2 linked regions of the Macaca mulatta genome follow. The main gene of each other region encodes a partner of the protein of the gene in region 2 in a complex. Links are inferred from orthologs where the notes say so. Each region holds a gene or a part of one and is shown on either strand. Other genes may lie near its edges.

What was found. Proteins that work in one complex are often made in the same cells at the same time.
Region 1: LAMTOR4 (region 2) and LAMTOR3 share a complex: the UniProt entries of both Homo sapiens proteins name them as parts of the ragulator complex. The link is inferred for Macaca mulatta from reciprocal best matches to the Homo sapiens genes LAMTOR4 and LAMTOR3.

The regions. Positions count from the first base shown.
Region 1 is NC_133410.1:109,207,472-109,217,725, forward strand, and holds the start of LAMTOR3 (ragulator complex protein LAMTOR3), read right to left. Parts: upstream 5,816-10,254; 5' UTR 5,732-5,815; intron 5,399-5,731; 5' UTR 5,362-5,398; coding exon 5,353-5,361; intron 3,418-5,352; coding exon 3,383-3,417; intron 1-3,382. Other genes in the region: uncharacterized protein LOC144340815, read left to right, coding at 5,816-6,064. UniProt on the Homo sapiens protein: As part of the Ragulator complex it is involved in amino acid sensing and activation of mTORC1, a signaling complex promoting cell growth in response to growth factors, energy levels, and amino acids.
Region 2 is NC_133408.1:47,465,097-47,475,256, forward strand, and holds LAMTOR4 (ragulator complex protein LAMTOR4), read left to right. Parts: upstream 1-3,234; 5' UTR 3,235-3,302; coding exon 3,303-3,383; intron 3,384-3,824; exon of another isoform or gene 3,825-3,825; coding exon 3,826-3,906; exon of another isoform or gene 3,907-4,160; intron 4,161-6,606; exon of another isoform or gene 6,607-7,408; intron 7,409-7,644; coding exon 7,645-7,762; intron 7,763-8,092; coding exon of another isoform or gene 8,093-8,109; coding exon 8,110-8,207; 3' UTR 8,208-8,450; downstream 8,451-10,160. Other genes in the region: TRAPPC14 (trafficking protein particle complex subunit 14), read right to left, coding at 9,275-9,428, 9,526-9,719, 9,935-10,089. UniProt on the Homo sapiens protein: As part of the Ragulator complex it is involved in amino acid sensing and activation of mTORC1, a signaling complex promoting cell growth in response to growth factors, energy levels, and amino acids.

The sequences.
Region 1 (10,254 bases), on a different chromosome or scaffold from region 2:
AACTATCTTATGGAATCTATAAACTACAACTCAGAGATATGTTCAATATCCCTACTGCAACCCGGAATTATCTATTCTTTGCGTTAACTTTAAAGTGTTAACTTTAATATATTAACTAAGGAATAAGAAATAGTATATTAACCTTATGTTTAAATACTGACATTAAATTTTTAAAAACCCCATTGCAAAAACTTTTAAGTCAGAGAAGTGTTATTAAATGCGAGTGGAAAATGTTACAAACAAAATCATTTGTCTTCCTTACACAAAAAATAAGAATAAAATAACTTTATAAATGACTTTTATACTATTTTTATCCTATTATTGGCATGATTTCCTATTCATTCAATCCTAAACTTATTTATGGATTAAAATATATCTCTAAGATTAATACATAACATAGGCCAGGCACGGTGGCTCATGCCTGTAATCCTAGCACTTTGGGAGGCCAAGGTGGGCAGATCACCTGAGGTCAGGAGTTTGAGACCAGCCTGGAAAACATGATGAAACCCCATCTCAATTAAAAATACAAAAATTAGCCGGGTGTGGTAGTGCTTGTCTGTAATCCCAGCTACTTGGGAGACTGAGGCATGAGAATCATTTGAACCTGGGTTGCAGTGAGCCAAGATCGCGCCACTGCACTCCAGCCTGGGTGACAGAACGAGACTCTGTCTCAAAAAAAAAAAAAAAAACAAAAACCAAAACAGATAAATACATAAAATAAATATATTCTTCTAAGTTAAAAACTAGATTATATAAAACATATCCTACAGATATTTGTACATATGCCAATTATTTTGTGCAGTTACCAAAAGCAACATCATTTGAAACAGTAAAGCATTACAAACCCAACTGTCCATCAAGAAGGACAAGGTAAGATATGATATACACCTACAAAGGAATACTCTGCAGTCATGAGAAAGAGGAAGTTCTCTATGTACCAGGAAAGATTACTCTCAAAGTTACATTCTTAAGTGAAAAAATACAGTTTAGAACAGTGTATACAAGCAGCAATAAATTATGTACCAAAATGTGCAGGCATATGTGTATGCTGTGTGTATAAATATGTGTATATACATGTCTGCTCATAGGTACATAAAATATCTCTACAGATAATGGTGGGTGCCTCTGTGAGGGGAAACTGTGCATGTGGCTGGAGAGGAAGGATGGGCAGCTACTCACTCTATGTTCTTCAGTGAACTCCTGAATCTGAACTTTATGAATGTACTACCTACTCCCAAAATAACTTAAAAAACAGGTAAAGAGGACCACAAAAATGTTTAGAAAAATTAGTGCCACCACAGGTAGCTTCTTTTTTAAAATTTCCATGGAAATTACTTTAAATACAACTAATGCTCCAAAGAAAATAAAAGGACTTTCTTTCTGATGGACTTCACAGAGAAATGAATTCAAGAAAGTAGAAAAATTACTTACACTCTTAAGTATATAATTTTAGAAATCAGGTCCCAATATAAAAGCTGTTTTCAATTCTACATACAATGCACAAAGAGTAATATGAATAGATTTTACTAATAATTAAAAATAACTGGCTCATGAAGAGATATTACACTTTTAGAAGAAATGAATTAAATTTTGTGAAATATTCTGAAGAAATCTAAACCTTAAGCTTACTAAAACAACCATTTTTTTCTAAAAACAAATGTTGCAGTACTAATGAAAGTCATCAGATTTAGTTTTATAATTATGAAATATTTGATTATTTTAAAACATACAAAGTGGGATTATTAAAGCCTGAGACTGCTTTGGGTCACAATCAGATTTTAAATTGCAAACGCAAGAACGATATTTTGCAGAGAATTCAAAAAATGCACAAAAACACACATTAGTATCCATAGCTGGCAGACTTTGTTACTGAGAGGCACTGAGGTTCAACAGTTAAAAGCATGAATCCATGGCTCTGAAGCAGGATGCCTGCATCCAAACCCATACATCTAGCAACAAATCAAAGTGTATTCTACTATTCTTCATGAATGTTCAAAACATTATTATTTCTTCATTATTATTGTTCTGGGATGCAGTAAGCCTAATTTCAGTAAATGATATGAGTTGAACTGGCTTTTTTTCATTATTTAAAAAAAACCTGACAGTACTAATACCTTTCCTGCCATTATGAAAGACTTTCATAAAGCTTTTAACAAATATCCTTTAACTGAATTTATTTCTTGGATAAGCACGACAACCTGGTATTTCCCCTTTCGTTAAAAGATAAAAGACATCCGAATTCAAAGAAGGAGCAAGCATATACTTTCCAACTATTTCTGATCAACATTAGAACTACTCAGTAATATAATAAATACTTCTGGTATTATTCTCTAATTCCTTTATACAGACAGCTTCACCATACCCAGTGTCACACACTATTATGACTTTCAGAGTACACTTAATAGTTAAAATGAGATCACCATTGTCTGAAACATTTCTGATACTTATAATCACAGATGATGTAATTAGAATCAATTATTGCTTTATTAGATCTCCAGATGAATAATGGGTATCTTTCTGGTGGGTTTATAACTTAAGAACATTGAATGTAATTTTGCTGTTTCTTCAATAAGAGATGCTAACACTCAAAAGAGGATTGTAAATCACTAAGACTTCTAAGTGAATTAACTGCACTATTAACTATTTCGTCATATCGCCAGTGTAGTGGGGTATCTCTGCATTCCAATTTGAGCACCCTTTATGCTAAGGTAACTACAGAAAAATACAGAAAGTCCTCATTTTGCACAGTCCCAATATGCACATTTTAGTTTGCATGGCATAATACCTGAATAACTGCATAAAGTAGTATAAACTTTTCTAATTCTTTAGTCTACAAATCATAACATAAATAATTACGCAACTAAGAGATGCACACTGTCATCAGTAACCAGCCACATCATTTCTTTCAAAGTATGTTGATGGTTGGTCACTGTGCATCTGTTATGCAGTTCGTGCAGAGATAGCAAAGCATGTAGTTTTGTACCTCCTTGTCTCCCAATGATAAAGTATGTGACATTTAGAAAAAGAGATAATAAAAAGAGGAAACTGGCCGACAAAGATGAAATACAGCAAAGAAATGAAAAGTAATAATGCTGGAAGTGAATTTCAAATAAAGAGTTATAGAAGAAACAGGTGACCAAGGGAATGCTGACACTATCCCTCTAGATACACAGAGAACTCAGTGAAGGCAAACTTATTGACATAAATGAGGAAAGCGGTTGTGACGAAAATTTTCCAGAGGACATGATGCTGGCAAAAAATATTCATATTAAAGGAAATCTCAGAGATACTTCAAAACATTGAAAATACACAGACAAAATACTTCATAAAATTAACATATGGCATATAGAATTTATTCAGTAACAAATTAAAAATTTCTTACCTTGGTAACTTTTTATACAAGAATCGCTTTAGGTCCTGAAAGAGAATATTAAAAAATCATGTTATAATAATAGGCCTTCCACTGTTTTCTAGATCCTGTCCTATCCAAATTTTAGGGACGTTCAGTTATCATTCATAACCTTTCTTGCTGTGTTTTATCTTTCTCTGTCTGATTTGGATGTTTACTAGTCATGCAACTTGGAGTAAGTTAACTAACCTTTTTTCCCTAAGCCTATTTCATTATTTGTTGAATAGGGCTAATATAGAACCTACATCATAAGAGTGCTGTTAAAGTTTTTTGAGAAGTTGCATGGATTAGCATACCTAGAAATGGGAAACACAAATACATTTTAGCCATAAAAATATATCATAATATTCATACTAGTGTTTTATATCCTGTTGCTATTGTGTTCACTTGAGAAGACATTATAAACACCTTTCCAGGTTCAAAGATAGACTTTCCACCATCATTTTAATGGTCTTGGGTAAGGTGATATGACTTCTGTAAGACTGCTGTCTCACATTATAAAAATATGCCTTCCATTGTTTCATTATTTGTTGAACTCACCTACTCAACAAATAATGAAACAGTGTAAGGCATATTATTATAACATAATTATTAAAATATTCTGTTTAAGGACCTAAAATAAATTATATATGACTATGTGAGGCAACAGTCTTTTTTTTTGTTTTTGAGAGGGAGTTTTGCTCTTGCTGTCCAGGCTGGAGTGCAATGGCGCAATCTCGGCTCACTGCAACCTCTGCTTCCCAGGTTCAAGCGATTCTCCTGCCTCAACCTCCGAGTAACTGGCATTATAAGCACCCACCACCACGTCCCAGCTTATTTTTTTGTATTTTTAGTAGAGATATGGTTTCACCATGTAGGCCAGGCTGGTCTCGAACTCCTGACCTCAGGTGATCCACCCGCCTTGGCTTCCCACAGTGCTGGGATTACAGACGTGAGCCACCACGCCCAGCCCAGACTTACAGAATATAAGATAAATGGCGAAGTGTGTCAAGTGTTTAACACTAAACACAGTTAAGACTAAAGAAATATAAGACTATTTTATTTTTCTAAGCTGGGGCTCACTGCAACTTCCAAGTTCTGGGCTCAAGCAATCCTTCCGCCTCACTTCCAGCATAGCTGGGACTACAGGGTTATCAATGCGCCTGGTTTTTAAATTTCTTTTTGTATAACGGGGTCTTGCTACGTTGCCCAGGCTGATCTTGAACTCCCAGCCTCAAGTGATCCTTCCATCTCGGCATCCCAAAATGCTGAGATTACAGACGAAGCCACCTCACCGGCCAGAAGATTATCTTATTTTGTCTCATTACACTCTCTCATCCCAGGAATTTCACTGACACTTGAGGTATCAATTTTGACCTCGCATGGATTAATCAGGTATCTGTTGTTTTGAGCCTCCAACACTTACTATTCTCCAAACCCGAATGATCATTTTATTTCATGTTATGACTATTGGCTTATTTTTGCTCTCATCCTACACACACACACACACCCCTCATTTTATTTCATGTTATGTTTCTAAAGAGGCATGGGTTAGAAATCATCGTAAATTGCCACAATAAACCTAATAAGATATTGTTACCACTTACTGGAAAAAAGTATTCTGGGTACATGTCCTACTGACCAAATTCTGACAGGAAAAGCAGCGAACCATCATTCAGAATTTCAAATGGTAAATACACAGAGCCTCTCTTATACCCCAGCTGGATTGGTGAGGAGGGAGAATATAATTTTCTCAGTCTCAAGCACCTTAGTGTCCTCCACCCCCATTCGAGGCAGAAACTCAGGATCCTGCAAATTCATTCATATTAGTCTCCCATTTCACATACAAGAGAAAATAATTAACTGGGATGGGTGGGGATGGGAGGATCTTCTACCTCTCCCCGCTCAGTATTCCCCTCCAAATTCCCCACTCTCCCTTCCTCTTATGTGGGGGTGTCACTCACATCCGCCATGATGAACCCCTTTCTCTCGCAGGATCAATCTCCACGCCTGGAAGAGAAACTCCCGGTGACTCTTACCTCTTTGGCTTCCTCGTCCTCCCCACCCCCAACTTAATAAGCAAGATCAGCCCTGGTCAGAACCCGGCAAAACCCCCGCGGTTCTAGGGCTTGGCCCAGCGAGCCCAGTGGGAGTCGGAGTGCCCCAACACCCCCACGGGTACTCAGCTGGCACGCCTTGCCTCAGCCCACCCCATCCCTGCCCCTCCACCCCAAAGAGCTAGGCCCAAACAAAAGAAGAGGGGGCCCTCTCCTTCTGTTTAGTCTCACCACCCGCGCCACCTCCGGGACTAGGCCTCAAACCAGGCAAAGTAGCGCCAGTTACCTGGGGTTTCTGGGTTGCCTGGTTCTCTCCGTTGTCACTTCAGGGACAGCTTTAAAGACAGGTTCCTCCTCAAGCCACCGTCACATGATTGATGACCTCTTCGGCGCTCCGGGAAGCACTTTCTACGCCGTCGCCCCACGATACTGGATTTCCGGAAGGGCCTGGCGGAAGCTTCGAGGGCGCGGCCGCCCGACGCGCCCCGCCCCTCCCCCGCCCACCGCGGGCCGCGTCTTGCGCCTGCGCCTTGTGTCACGGGCCGAGGGACGTCAGCTGTGGGGTAGAGGATTTGTACGAGATCGCTGGACCCTGAGGACCCCAGAAAATGCAAGCAAGGTTATGTGTTACAAGACATTCTTGTGCAGAGAGGGTGTATAAATGTCATTAGTTTTTCAGGGTCCGTTATCTTAAAACCTTTTCTTGTAGATGAAGTAATTTGAGGGGATGGTGTGATGAGCTGAAGAGCAAGCAACAGATTGCCTGTGATTGGAAGTATCAGGTCCACAGGTTTCTGACTTGTTTCCTAGGTTCTTGTGACTTCCCCATGGGTGCTCTTTACTCAAGGCCTTATCTAGATTGAATGGGGAGGAGCCATGGGTTTTCTGGAGCACTTCAAGCGTCTACTTTTAACATGCAGACACGGGATTACGGGTACTTTCTATGTTCCCTTTTACATCAGAATTTTTAAAAATTAGTAAGGTCTCATATAATAAATAATAATTGGAAAAAAAAAAAAAAAAAAAAAAAAAAGCCTTGCCGGGTGCGGTGACTGACGCCTGTAATCCCAGCACTTTGGGAGTCCGAGGCGGGACGATCCTTTGAGCCCAGGAGTTCCACACCAGCCTGGCAAGATAGAACCCCATCTCTACTACTACTACTACTACTAATAATAATAACAACAATAAAGAATTAGCCTTACGTGGCGTGCGCCAGGTACTCCGGAAGCTGAGGCATGAGGATCCCTTCAGCCCAGGGTTTGAGGCTGCATTGAGTGGTGATCGCCCCACTGAACTCCAGCTTGAGTGACAGAGCGAGATGCTCAAAAGAAAAGCTTCTTTAGAAATCACATCCTCTTTCAGCTACCACCCTGTTTTTCCTCTACTCCCTTTCATAGCCAAATTTTCAGAAAATTTTAGCCTGGTTTTTAATTGCTGCTTGCATGTCACAAATCTAATCAGAGTTCTGTTGATTCTACCTCCTATCTTTGAAAACTAGTCACCTATCTATGTTCGTACCCTAGTGCAAGCCATGATCATCTCTCTCTTGACAATAACCTCCTATTCTTCTTACATTCTCTTTTGCCCTCCAGTCTCCATAGAGCAACAAAAATGATGTTCTAAAAACCCAAATCGGATCATTTAACTCCTTTCTTGAAAATCAACTTTATTATAAAGTTCAATATCAGCATCATGGTTTATATATCGTTCTTATGGGGATCTGGCCCCTATATTGATTCTCTCACCTACCCTGGATTCCTTATGCTATGATCATACAAGTTTGTTTCCACTTCCATAAAGATTTTTATCACTTTACCAACTTAGCACATTCTGCCTGAGATATTTCTCTAGCATACCTTAATCCTACTAATCTCTTCTTTTGCCTTTCAGCTTAAACTCACTCTCAGAGAAGCCTTTCCTGACCCTCACTGAATAGTTTAGGCCTTCTAGATAAATGCTTTCATTGTGCCCTGTAATTTTCTTTGTAGAATTTATCATAATTATAATTATTTACTTGATATTTATTTTCTTTGCTAGATGGAAACTCTAAGGTTTTTGTCTTTCTTATTCAATGATTGATTCCCAGCACCCAGCTCACTGCCTGGGATATAGCAAGCATTGATACACTTGTTGCCTAGTTGAATGAATGAAAGAGTGGCCATATTAAGAGTATAAAACATGATAAAAACAAACATTTTACAGTGAGAACAGACCTTTTTATTAATATATTGAGATAAACTACAGAGACTGAAAGACAAAAATTCATATTTCATTCAGAACATTCATTAAAAATCAAATGCATTTACTTTGCGTTCTCACAGAAAATTTTATTTAAGTCTGATATAACATTAAATATTTTACAAATCAGACATTTCATTTTAAAATCTAATTTATAATCCTGAATGCATTATAGACAAAGTAAGCTCTCCTTTACTAGTTTCATTTAACTTATACAAGGCTTCCATTATAATTCCATCAAACCTTAAAAATTACCTGCAGCTTTTAAAAATACATAAAGTAAATGGAAAGAAAGTCTTATGCAGCAATCCAAAAACCAAAACCAGAAATTGGCAAGAAGCATTTCTTAATACAGATAAACTGCAAAATATCATTTATGTGTGTTTCTTTCTTCTCACTGGTTTAATCATCCTATTCAAAATAATTCTTTTTGAAACTAATAATTACAATACTCCAATGTCACTGAAAATCTCTGATTTTAATTGTGTACTTAAATGGCAAAGTAGAATATCAGATTGAAATGTACAGTCTTGTGCTGAAGTGAATGAGGCTTGCCATGCCAGGTGTCATCTGCTATGCAGTTACAAGACATCTTGGCAACTAGTCATCCCAGTTTTTACTAACTTACTAAACAAGGACATTTCAAGAAATACTTCTTAACCCTATATATTTCCAGATGGCTGGATATAGAAAGATATAATTATGTTTGAAGCATGGACCTTATAATAGGAATCTCTGCATTAAAATATGAAAAAGAGCAACAGAAAGAAGTCACACCAATGAAATTGTGTTGACTGATTTTCAAAGTTAGAAATAAAAATATCCACTGCTAATGGAAGCCCTGCACTGTGCAAACATAGTGTGGTATATATTAAACAATCACACATTTGAGGTATTAGCTGGAAAAAAATATATATATACACCTGTACATAGACACATCCACAGAATATTCACAAATCTATTGGCCCCAACACCAGCAGATAGTCATATTAAATAAAAAAAATCACATACCAACAGGAAAAAGTTACACATAGGGAATTTACAAAAAATGTGGTACTATAATCCTTAATATAAGGAGTATGTTTTGAATTAATGTTTTGAGGAAAAGTGTTTCCATTTATATGAAAGTTATCTATTTAATAGTAATAAAACCAAAAAGGAAGCTGAATTCTAGGACTGTTTTGCCTGCCAAATTATTGAAGGGATGAACAAGAATTCCTTGAAAAGCCTCATTCTATCCTTTTTCTTTGTAACTAGAAATTAGAATTTAAAATGTTGGAAATTATTGCCAGATTACTTTCTTTTCATTGGTTTATAGGGTATTTTATGGATTTTAACTAGGCAATAGTCCAATGTGGTCAACAGACATGGTTTTTCAGCTGTTGAATGAAAATTAAAATAGGTATTGTTGATTTTCATTAGTTTTTCTGTTCAGATAAGAAAAAAGATTATGAATTCCCTTTCAGTTTGCTTCACTCAGTATGAAGATGGCTAGTAGTAATAGGATAGTACTGAACCCAAGCTTCACATGGGGAAGCTCAACAAATGTACAAATTCTCCTCTTTTAACCATTTGGTCCTTGGACATAAAACTTGCTTAACTGGCAAGATGGCTCACTTGGTCCTCAAGCCAACATCAAGAAATATTTAGCTGTCTTAACACAGGTGGGAGGTTTTTTTTTTAATGAAATACATAGGAATCCATTAAGTAACATCAGCATGTCGTATGTGTTAAATAGCTTCGTTTAAAAATATTACAGATCAACAGAAGGGAAATCAAAAACGTAATCATTTTTCTCAGTAACTACTTTACATACTAGTGTAATTAAAGATTTAACTGGAAGAAAAATTAAGCATAAAAGTATAATTAAAGTGAAAAGCTGGTATTCCACATTCCTGTTCCTATGAACACCTGAGCTGACACAAAAGCTGAGTAGTTTAATGCACTGGCATATATATGCCTTAAGGACTGTACTTTTCTCTACCAAATCTTTATAAATCATAAACAAGCATGTAATGATTATGAAACAAATATTTAGGCGTTCAAATGTAATGTTTACAAAATATATTATATTCACTTATTAGATGAATCCAACTTGACATTTTTCATTGTTGAGAATTCAGTTCACATTTAATCAAACTACATTCTGAAATTTACAAATGACTAAATGACTAGCACCAGTCTATTTGGGAACTAAGGAATCAAAAGAAGAGGAGAAGGGTACTATTGTCATTTCCCCCAAACCCTCACAAGGACAATAATGTTTGTGTGCATATGCATTGGTGTATTTGTGTGTGTTTATGTAAAAAGGGGTAAAAATGTAAAGCATTAATAAATATAACTGCTGCTAAACTGTTAGAATACCAGTTAGAGGAGCTAATAAAGCACTATTCAAAGATTGAGGACTTTTAGGTGGTCATTAGAATGAGCCAATGAAATTGCAAAGTTCATGTAGTTAAAAATAAGATGGCAAAATATTGGGATTTTTATTATAAAAAAGCAGCAAACATGAAAATATTTCATCTCAAGGTATCTAAACTCTTCTTACTTTGTATGATTAACTCCAAATTA
Region 2 (10,160 bases):
GAGTTCAAGGCTGCAGTGAGCCATGATCACACCACTGGACTCAAGCCTGTGCAACGGAGCAAGATCCTTTCTTTAAAAAAAAAAAAAAAAAAAAAAAAAAGGGCTGGGTGCAGTGGCTCACGCCTGTAATCCCAGCACTTTGGGAGGCCGAGGCGGGCGGATCATGAGGTCAGGAGATCAAGATCATCCTGGCTAACACGATGAAACCCCATCTCTACTAAAAATACAAAAAAAATAGCCGGGATGGCGACATGCCCCTGTAATCCCAGCTACTTGGGAGGCTGAGGCAGGAGAATTGCTTGAACCCGAGAGGCGGAGGTTGCAGTGAGCTGAGAGTGCACCACTGCACTACAGCCTGAGCAACATAGCGAGACTCCATCTCAAAAAAAAAAAAAAAAAAGTTGAACTGATACTTCACAAAATATGATATCCCAAAAGACAAACCTGTCTGAAAATGTGATCAACCTCATTAATATTTAGGTAAATGCAAATAAAAACCACAATGAGAAGCCATCACATATCTAAAAGTGTGGCAATACTGGCTAGGTGTGGTGGCTCATACCTGTAATCCCAACACTTTGGGTGGCTGACGTGGGCAAATCACGAGGTCAAGAGATCGAGACTATCCTAGCCAACATGGTGAAACCTGTCTCTACTAAAAATATAAAAATTAGCTGGGTGTGGTGGTGCGCTCCTGTAGTCCCAGCTACTCAGGAGGCTGAGGCAGAAGAATTGCTTGAACCCGGGAGGCGGAGGTTGCAGTGAGCCGAGATTGCGCCACTGCACTCCAGTCTGGGCAACAGAACGAGACTCTGTCTCAAAAAAAAAAAAAAAAAAAAAAAGTGTCGTAATACCAAGTGTTAATGGAGCTGGAGATAACCGGGAACTCTGACACATTGCTAGAGGAGTGTGAGCTGGTCTAACCAGTTTGATTTGCAGATCATAGATAAAAAAGATAGGGAACTCTGATTCATTTTTTTCTGGCAACCTGCTCTATCTACCAAAAGCAGATAAATAATATACCAAAAAGAAACTATAGTCCAATCTCATTTATCATAATGGATTTTTAAAATTCTAAGTAAAGCAGTACAACAAATGGGTAGTATAATTTGTTCCAGTAGATTTTATTCCAGAAACACAAAGATAGTTAAATATCACTTGATCTTAGCCAGAAGGTCGAGAAGCGATAAAGATGGTTAAATATCAAGAATACTGCCACTGGCTGGGCACAGTGGCTCACGCCTGTAATCCCAGCACTTTGGGAGGCCGAGGCGGGTGGATCACCTGAGGTCGGGAGTTCGAGACCAGCCTGACCAACATGGGAAACCCCGTCTCTACTAAAAATAGAAAATTAGCTGGGCCTGGTGGCACATGCCTATAATCCCAGCTACTAGGGAGGCTGAGGCAGGAGAATTGCTTGAACCTGGGAGGCGGAGGTTGCGGTGAGCCGAGATCGTGCCATTGCACTCCAGCCTGGGCAACAAGAGTGAAACTCCGCCTCAAAAAACAAAACAAACAAACAAACAAAAGAATACTGCCACCATAATTTATTACATCAAAATCTTCTTTTTTTTTTGAGACGGAGTTTCATTCTTGTTGCCCAGGTCAGAGTGCAATGGCACAATCTTGGCTCATTGCAACCTCCGCCTCCTGGGTTCAAGGATTCTCCTGCCTCAGCCTCCCCAGTAGCTGGGATTACAGTCATGTACCACTGCACCTGCCTAATTTTTTTTTTTTTTTGTATTTTTTGTAGTGATGAGGTTTCACCATGTTGGCCAGGCAGGTCTTGAACTCCTGACCTCAGGTGATCCACCCGCCTTGGTCTCCCAAACAGCTGGGATTACAGGTGTGAGCTACCATGCCCAGCCTTGATTGTTGTTTCTAACAAGTCTTAAAAGACACCCAGACTTCAACAATTGTTACTATATTCAGATTTTTTTGGTTTGTTTTTGAGACAATCTTGCTCTTTTACCCAGTCTGGAGTGCAGTAGCATGATCATGGCTCACTGCAGCTTCAAACTCCTGGGCTCAAGCAATTCTCCCACCTCAGCCTCCCCGGTAGCTGGGACTACATGTGCGGTATCATGCCTGGTTAATTTTTAAATTTTTAGAGATGGGGTCTTGCTATGTTGCCCAGGCTTCTAGAATCACTCTTCATATTACTCACTAACACTGCCTCCACCACATTAATACGGCAACAGGTCTAGAAATTATTTAAAACAAAAATTTCCAATGTTTACATTGTGTGATGTATGTATGTATGTATGTATGTGTGTGTGTGTGTGTGTGTGTATCATTCCAAGGTACTGTTTCTAATTTTTTCCTGCAGAGAATATTCAGTATTGTATCTGCATTGGCTAGCTGGTGATTCTATTCACCATCACATTGTCCCAGACTGAATCTGAAGACAAAAAACCACTTTGGGAACAAAATCTTTTTTTTTTTTTTTTTGAGATGTAGTCTCGCTGTCTCCCAGGCTGGAGTGCAGTGGCGTCATCTCGACTCACTGCAAGCTCCACCTCCCAGGTTCGCGCCATTCTCCTGCCTCAGCCTCCCGAATAGCTGGAACTACAGGCGCCCGCCACCACGCCTAGCTAATTTTTTTGTATTTTTTAGTAGGGACAGGGTTTCACTGTGTTAGCCAGGATGGTTTCCATCTTCTGACCTCGTGATCCGCCCGCCTCGGCCTCCCAAAGTTCTGGGATTACAGTTGTGAGCCACCGCGCCCGGCCAAGGGAACAAATTCTTGTCTTCAACAAAGAGCGGTCTTGAGTAGGCATAAAAGTAGCATTTGAAGGTTGGGCGCCCAGCCTTGAATAGCTTTTTACATGCATTGCACGTTATTTCCTTTTATTATCACGTTTTTTGGGTCCAGTCTTAAACCTGGGAAGGCATTCGTTTGGGAGGTCACACTAGCGGGCATCCTGGTTCAGGCGGAACCCAGACTCTAGAAAGCGCGCGCGGAGCCACACGGTCAACCCTGTCCCACTCCTGGCCCTCCCACACCGTCCCCTCCGCGGAAGCACTCCCGCCTCCTCTCGCTCAGGCACTGACTGAGAGGCGGGGAGATGGGTGTTAAAGAGGGGATATCACCAATCAACGTGCGCCTCCGGGAAGGAGCGCTTCGCACTGGCTGGTTGGGTCTGACGACGTGGCCACGATCCAATCCTCATGCTAGAGGCGCGGCTAAAGGGTAGGGAAGCAAGCAGAAGGAGGAGCGCTCCGGGTGCGAGCACGTGACCGGGGCCTGAAGCCGGAAGCTACCTATCTGGTAGGGAGCTCCACCAGCACCGAAGACTGCGATGGTGAGTGAGGACGCATGCGCGGGAGGACCCGCCGGGGGTTCCGCGTCTCTGCTCCCCAATCTGTGTGGTTTCCCCCTCGTGGGTCTGCGCTCCACCCTCACCTCCTATCCGCTCGGGGAGGAAGACGGGATGGAGATGGGAGGGATGGCGATGGGAATGCTGGGGAGGGGTCTGTGGGAGGGTGTTCTGGGGCTGCGGGTAGTCTGCAGGTCAGGGGCGGGGAGGTGGAGAGAGGGTCTGGGGGCAGGGGCCAGTGGGGCAGCGAAGTCCCCTCGGAGTAGCATAGGTGGAGCGTGGAAGGCCAGGGGAGCCCGGGGGCCGAGAGTGGGGGCAGATGGAGGCTCGGGAAGATCAGTATTGAGGACCATGTAGGGGGAAGGGAGCCGGGAAAGGACCTGGCTGGGGAATGAGAAAACCTGGGGCCATCGCCAATCAAGAGACTTGGGTTTGTAGGTGAAGGGTATCAGGGGCCATCCATCCCTCTAGCATGCTTCTCACTACTTGCATCTTTACCCACTAGACTTCTGCACTGACCCAGGGGCTGGAGCGAATCCCAGACCAGCTCGGCTACCTGGTACTGAGTGAAGGTGCAGTGCTGGCGGTGCGTTCTGGGAAAGGGAGGGGGTCCCTTAGTGCACACAGCCCGGTAACCCCTTCTAATATTGGCCCTTCTTTTCTCGACTTTTACCTGGTTTGCGGTCTGGCATCTATTAGGTTGGTACAAAAGTATTTGCAGTTTTTGCAATTACTTTCAGTAATCAGTCTGTGGAATCTTAGTCTCCTAACGGTTGCGGTTTATTTATTTACTTATTTATTTACACTTTTTGAAACTGAGTTTCATTCTTGTTGCCCAAGCTGGAGTGCAGTGGTGCGATCTCGGCTCACTGCAACCTCCGCCTCCGGGGTTCAAGCGATTGTCCTGCCTCAGCCTCCAGAGTAGCTGGGATTACAGGCATGTGCCACCACGCTCGGCTATTTTTTTGTATTTTTAGTAGAAACGGGGTTTCACCGTGTTAGCCAGGCTGGTCTCAAACTCCTGACCTCAGGTGATCCATCTGCCTCAGCCTCCCAAAGTGCTGGGATTACAGGCGTGAGCCAACATCCCTGGCCTTTATTTGATATTTCTTAAAGAGTCATTTGTATTTTGTTCCATAGTACTGTATAGTGTTAGGTCTCTAGATGTTTTTGATTTAGCTAGAGACAAAGCTTAAGGTTAAGTGTTGAAAACAATACAGGTGGTAAAAGACTATTGAAGGAATCCAGGATATTAAAAATTCAACATGTTATGACAAGGTAACTAACTTCCCTGGAGGTAGGAATTCAGCCCAGCTTAAAGGAGAGTATTTACAGTGGGGAGGTGGACATATTTGCAGGTGTGTGGCACTGACCTTTCTAAACTGATGGTAAGTCTGTGCTGAAAAGATTTGGGAAGATTTGAGGGAAGAGGAAGATATGGTCAGGGAGGATCTGATTGTGAAGGATCTTCAAGGCCAGGTTAACACACTTGAACTTATTCTTCTTGGAGGTAATACAGCTTGAAAGGTTTTTTAAACAGAAACAAGACCCAGTGAGGTGGTTGAGCAATATTGTTGTTAGTGATGTGAAGATGGGCAGAAGGAGGCATCATTAAGAGATTAGACTGGGCCAGGCATAGGTGGCTCACGTCTTTAGTAATCCCAGCATTTTGGGAGGCCAAGGCGAGTGGATCACGAGGTCAGGAGATCTAGACCATCCTGGCCAACACGGTGAAACCCTGTCTCTGTTAAAAATACAAAAACAAAATTGGCCAGGCGTGGTGGTGGGCGCCAGCTACTCGGGAGGCTGAGGCGGGAGAATGGCGTGAACCAGAAAGGCGGAGGTTGCAGTTAGCCAAGATTGCACCACTGCACTCCAGCCTGGGTGACAGAGCAAGACTCCGTCTCAAAAAAAAAAAAAAAAAAAAAGAGATGAGACTGGGCAAGTGGCAGTAAGAAGGAGCAAGGAGAGAAGAGTTTTGTTTTTGTTTTTGTTGTTTTTTGAGACAGAGTCTCGCTCTGTGGCCCAGGCTGGAGTGCAGTGGCATGATCTCAGCTCAGGGCAACTTCCGCCTCCCAGGTTCAAGCGATTCTCCCGCCTAAGCCTCCTGAGTAGCTAGGATTACAGGCGTGTGCCACCACACCCGGCTAATTTTTGTATTTTTAGTAGAGATGGGATTTTGCCATGTTGGCCAGGCTGGTCTCGAACTCCTGACCTTGTGATCTGCCCACCTCAGCCTCCCAAAGTGCTGGGATTACAGGCATGAGCCACCGCGCCCGGCCCTTTTTTTTTTTTTTTTTTTTTAGGACAGAGTCTTGCTGTCACTCAGGCTGAAGTGCAGTAGTGTGATCACATCTCATTGCAGTCTTGAACTCCTGGGCCCAAGCGATCCTCCCACCTCAGCATCCCAAGTAACTAGAACTATAGGCAAGCACCACCACGCCCAGCCATTAAAAAAAAAAAATTTATAGGGACAGGGGTCTTGCTATGTTGCCCAGGTTGGTCTCGAAGTCCTGGCCTCCATCAGTCCTCCTGCCTTGGCCTCCCAAAGTGCTGGGATTATAGGTATGAGCTACTGTGCTTGGCTGGGAGAAGATATTTTAAAGAAGGAATCAGTATATCTTGCTAATGACTAGAAATAGGTAATAAAAGAAATACTTCTCTAGCTAGAACTTTAAAGCCTGGAAGAGTGATGATGCCTTAAGAAACATGTTCCTTAAGGCCGGGCGCGGTGGCTCAAGCCTGTAATCCCAGCACTTTGGGAGGCCGAGACGGGCGGATCACGAAGTCAGGGGATCGAGACCATCCTGGCTAACCCGGTGAAACCCCGTCTCTACTAAAAATACAAAAAACTAGCCGGGCGAGGTGGTGGGCGCCTGTAGTCCCAACTACTCGGGAGGCTGAGGCAGGAGAATGGCGTGAACCCGGGAGGCGGAGCTTGCAGTGAGCTGAGATCCGGCCACTGCACTCCAGCCTGGGCGGCAGAGCGAGACTCCGTCTCAAAAAAAAAAAAAAAAAAAAAAAAAGAAACATGTTCCTGTGTGGTGGCTCACACCTATAATCCCAGCACTTTCGGAGGCTGCTGAGGTGGGTGGATCACTTGAGGTCAGGAGTTTGAGACCAGCCTAGCCAGCATGGTGAAACCCCATCTTTACTGAAAATACAAAAAACTAGCCTGGCATGGAGGCACATGCCTGTAATCCCAGCTACTTGGGAGGTTGATGCAGGAGAATTGCTTGAACCCAGGAGGCAGAGGTTGCAGCGAGCCAAGAGTGCACCACTGCACTCCAGCCTGGGCGATAGAGTGAGACTCCGTCTCAAAACACAAACAAACAAATCAAAAAAGGAAGTAGACTGGAAAGGAGGTGGATAAGGATAAGGTGAAATTTGATGGCCCAACTTTAGACATTGAGTTTGATGTAAAATAGCAGTTAATATATATTGCTAGCTCAGCAAAAGGAACTAAATCTAGTGGAGGCCCATATCAAGGAAGAGGGAAGAGGAAGTTGAGACAGTCACCAGAAAAGAGGAACCCTAAGCCACTGTCCCATCACTTACTCTAGGGGTCAACAGAGGGAGGGATTCAAGGACAAACGGAATGTTTATGTTGGAGATTGTGCAAACAGGGCAGCAAGTGTGAAGATTGAGAAAAAGATGGAGCCATTAACAGGTCAGTGGTGGGCAGGCATTCATTTCGGAGAATGTGGTTTTATCAAATAGGCAGGGACATGGGAGAAATCCAGTTTCACGGGGTTAGAAAAGCATGGGTCAATAAAGACATGGATGGCCAAGCACGGTGGCTTACGTCTGTAATCCCAGCATTTTGGAAGGCTGAGGCGGGCAGATCATTTGAGGTCAAGAGTTTGAGACCAGCTGATTAATATGGTAAAACCTCGTCTCTACTAAAAATATAAAAAATTAGCCAGGTGTGGTGATGCTGGTATATACCTGTAATCTCAGCTACTTGGGAGGCTAAGGCAGGAGAATCACTTGAACGCGAGAGGCCAAGATTGCACCACTGCACTCCAGCGTGGGTGACAGAACGAGATTCCGTCTCAAAAAAAAAAAAAGAAAAAAAAAAAAAGAGAGATGGATAAGCTGCTGCTCATCCGGGAAAGTCCAGTATTACGGGAAACAGGATGGCATCTGGAGGGTGACAACATAGGGGGAGATTTCAGGTTTTTTCCAAAGCTGGGTGACCCAAGGGTACTGGCAAGCCAAGGGGGAGATGGTCTAAGTGTGAGAGCCAAGGGGACTGTGCCTGGAATTCCGTCCCGAGCCTGTGCCGTAATGCTCGCCCCCTCCCTCCTCCGTCTGCATGCAGTCATCTGGGGACCTGGAGAATGACGAGCAAGCAGCCAGTGCCATCTCTGAGCTGGTCAGCACGGCCTGCGGTTTCCGGCTGCACCACGGCATGAATGTGCCCTTCAAGCGCCTGTCTGGTGAGCCCCTGTCCCTGCCCTTGGTGGTAGTACTGGGAGGAAGGGCCGCTTCCAGAGGCTTCTCTTCTTCCTCCCAGCCTCCCACCATCTCCTCCTGGGGTCTCTGGTCTGGCCACTTTCCTCCCTTTGGGACTCCCCTGTATTAGAATTGTGAATGAGAAGGCAAGAGAAAGGAGATGTAGCAGAGGCCACTCATCTTCAAATCTCTGAGCCTGGAACGATAGAATTTCTTTGGCTTTGATCCCAGCCAATGTGCGTGTGGCCCCGCCCCATGGAGTCTGTTGCACCCACTAACTCTGTGCTCCCTTCCCTCTCCTGGGGCGGGGGAAGGTGTGTCTCTCCTCCAGTGGTCTTTGGAGAACACACGCTGCTGGTGACGGTGTCAGGACAGAGGGTGTTTGTGGTGAAGCGGCAGAACCGAGGTCGGGAGCCCATTGATGTCTGAGCCTGCCGGAGGGCGAGGGTCGGAGAAGCGGATTGGGTCCTGGGCCTCTGTGATGAGGCAGGCACAGCCGTCAGTCTTGGCTTGCTGCTAGAACTAGGGCCTTCTGCTCGCCCACCTCCTACCCCTACCTGGATGGGCCAAAGCTTGGAGACTGTGAGCTGTGTTAAGGAGAACAAGGGCAAGGAGACCTCCCTTTGTGCTCCCTCTCTCCCTCCCTAATAAACATGAGCCTGATGTTCTCTAGCCCAGGGACATGTGTGTTTAGTGTGGGAATGATTACACCCCATGTCTGTCTTCCACCTTCTGGGGAGAAAGTCATGCACTTTAGCCCAAGTTGGGTGTGGCAGGGGTGCCTCTGTGTGCTATAAAACTGGGAAATAGAAAAAGCTGGAGGGGAAGGGAGTCACTCTGAGCCCTGGCGACTTCTGCTCTTCCCATCAGTACACAAACTAGTCATCCTTCTCCCTCCTGAACAGGCATTTAATAGTCTTATTTCAGTTGGAAGCAATAGTTGGAGAATAAGTTACAGGAACAGACCAAAAAAAAAAAAAAAAACCACAACAACTTAAAGTGCTTCAGGCTGCAAAAGTAAACATGAGGGGCAGGAGGCCACCTGCCTGGCCCTGTCCCCAACCCCTGAGACAGGACGGTCACTGTCAGGGGCCCTTAGCCATCACCACCCTCTAATCTCAGCCCTGCAGGAGGGAGGGAGGGAATGTCAGAGGTGGGAAAGAACTCAAAGGGAATGAGGAAGATACTTTGTAAACTTAGAACCAGGGTAAAGGGCGGGGGGCAAGGGAGCTCTGGAAACCCTTGCCCTGGCCTAGGGGTGGGGCCAGCCCCCCCCCACAGGAACTCGGGGAATACTGGTGGCTTAGTCCCAGCCATGCCCGCCCACTTCACAGCTTTTCCCCCGTCCCTGATCAGCAGACACAGACAGGCAGCTCTGCCAGGCCTCTTCACCCCCGTCTGGGAGGCATCCCAGGGGAGGCACAGCCCGGGAGCAGGGATCCCCTCTGGGGGCATTGGGTCTCTGGAGTGTAAGAGGGAACAGAGCTGGCACGATGCTACTTGACGGGTTCCACCACCAAGACCTTGCACTCGCGCTTGGCAATCTTGTCCAGAGACAACACAGCCTTGTCCGGGGGCAGGTAGAGGGGGCGGCCAACAGGAGAGGCCACAGGGGGCGTGATGGCCCTGCGCTCCATCACACTGCCCGACCTGGGGGAAGGCAGAGGCTGTGGGCGCTGGTCAGACCCGGCACCCTCCCTGCTCCCAGCCTCTACCCCATCCCATGCCACGCCCCCTGGTTCTGTACCTCATGAGGTGGCTTCGGGAAGGCTGCTGGTGGGAGAAGGACTGGGAGCGGCCCAGGCTAGCCTGATGCCTCTCCACCAAGTCCCGGACAGCAGGGCTGCTGGGGCTGCTCTTGCGGGAGAGAGGCCGGGCCTCGGGTGGAGGGTGGGACACGCTGGCGGTGAACTGCAGCTTCAGTTTCATGTGCTGGCTTAGCTGGGGGGAGACGCAGGTCAGCATGCCAGCTCAGCTTCCAGGGCCCAGGCCTCCTTCCAAATGGTCTTCCCCATGTGACAGACTGATGTCAAATCTAAATCCCACCTTCCCTCTGCCCAGCTTTTTATTTCATCCCTAAAATCTAAGGGTCCTGCCTCCATCCACCCCAGCATTCTGCATCACTCAGCACTCAGCTCAGACCCTCCCCAGCCCACCTCGAAAAGTCCCGTCCTCAGAGCCTGGAAGGCCACACTGAACGTGAGAGCGCTGCCCTTCCGGGAAAAGCCGAGGTTGTTGAGAGGCGTGTGGCAGACGATGGAGTCCAGGGCAGCCTGCATAGCCCGGCGCTCCTCCTCACACAGCTGCTTTCCTGGGGGCAGAAACAGGGACCAGCAAACACTACAGCGTTCCTCATTCCCACAGGGCCTTCGCCAGCACATC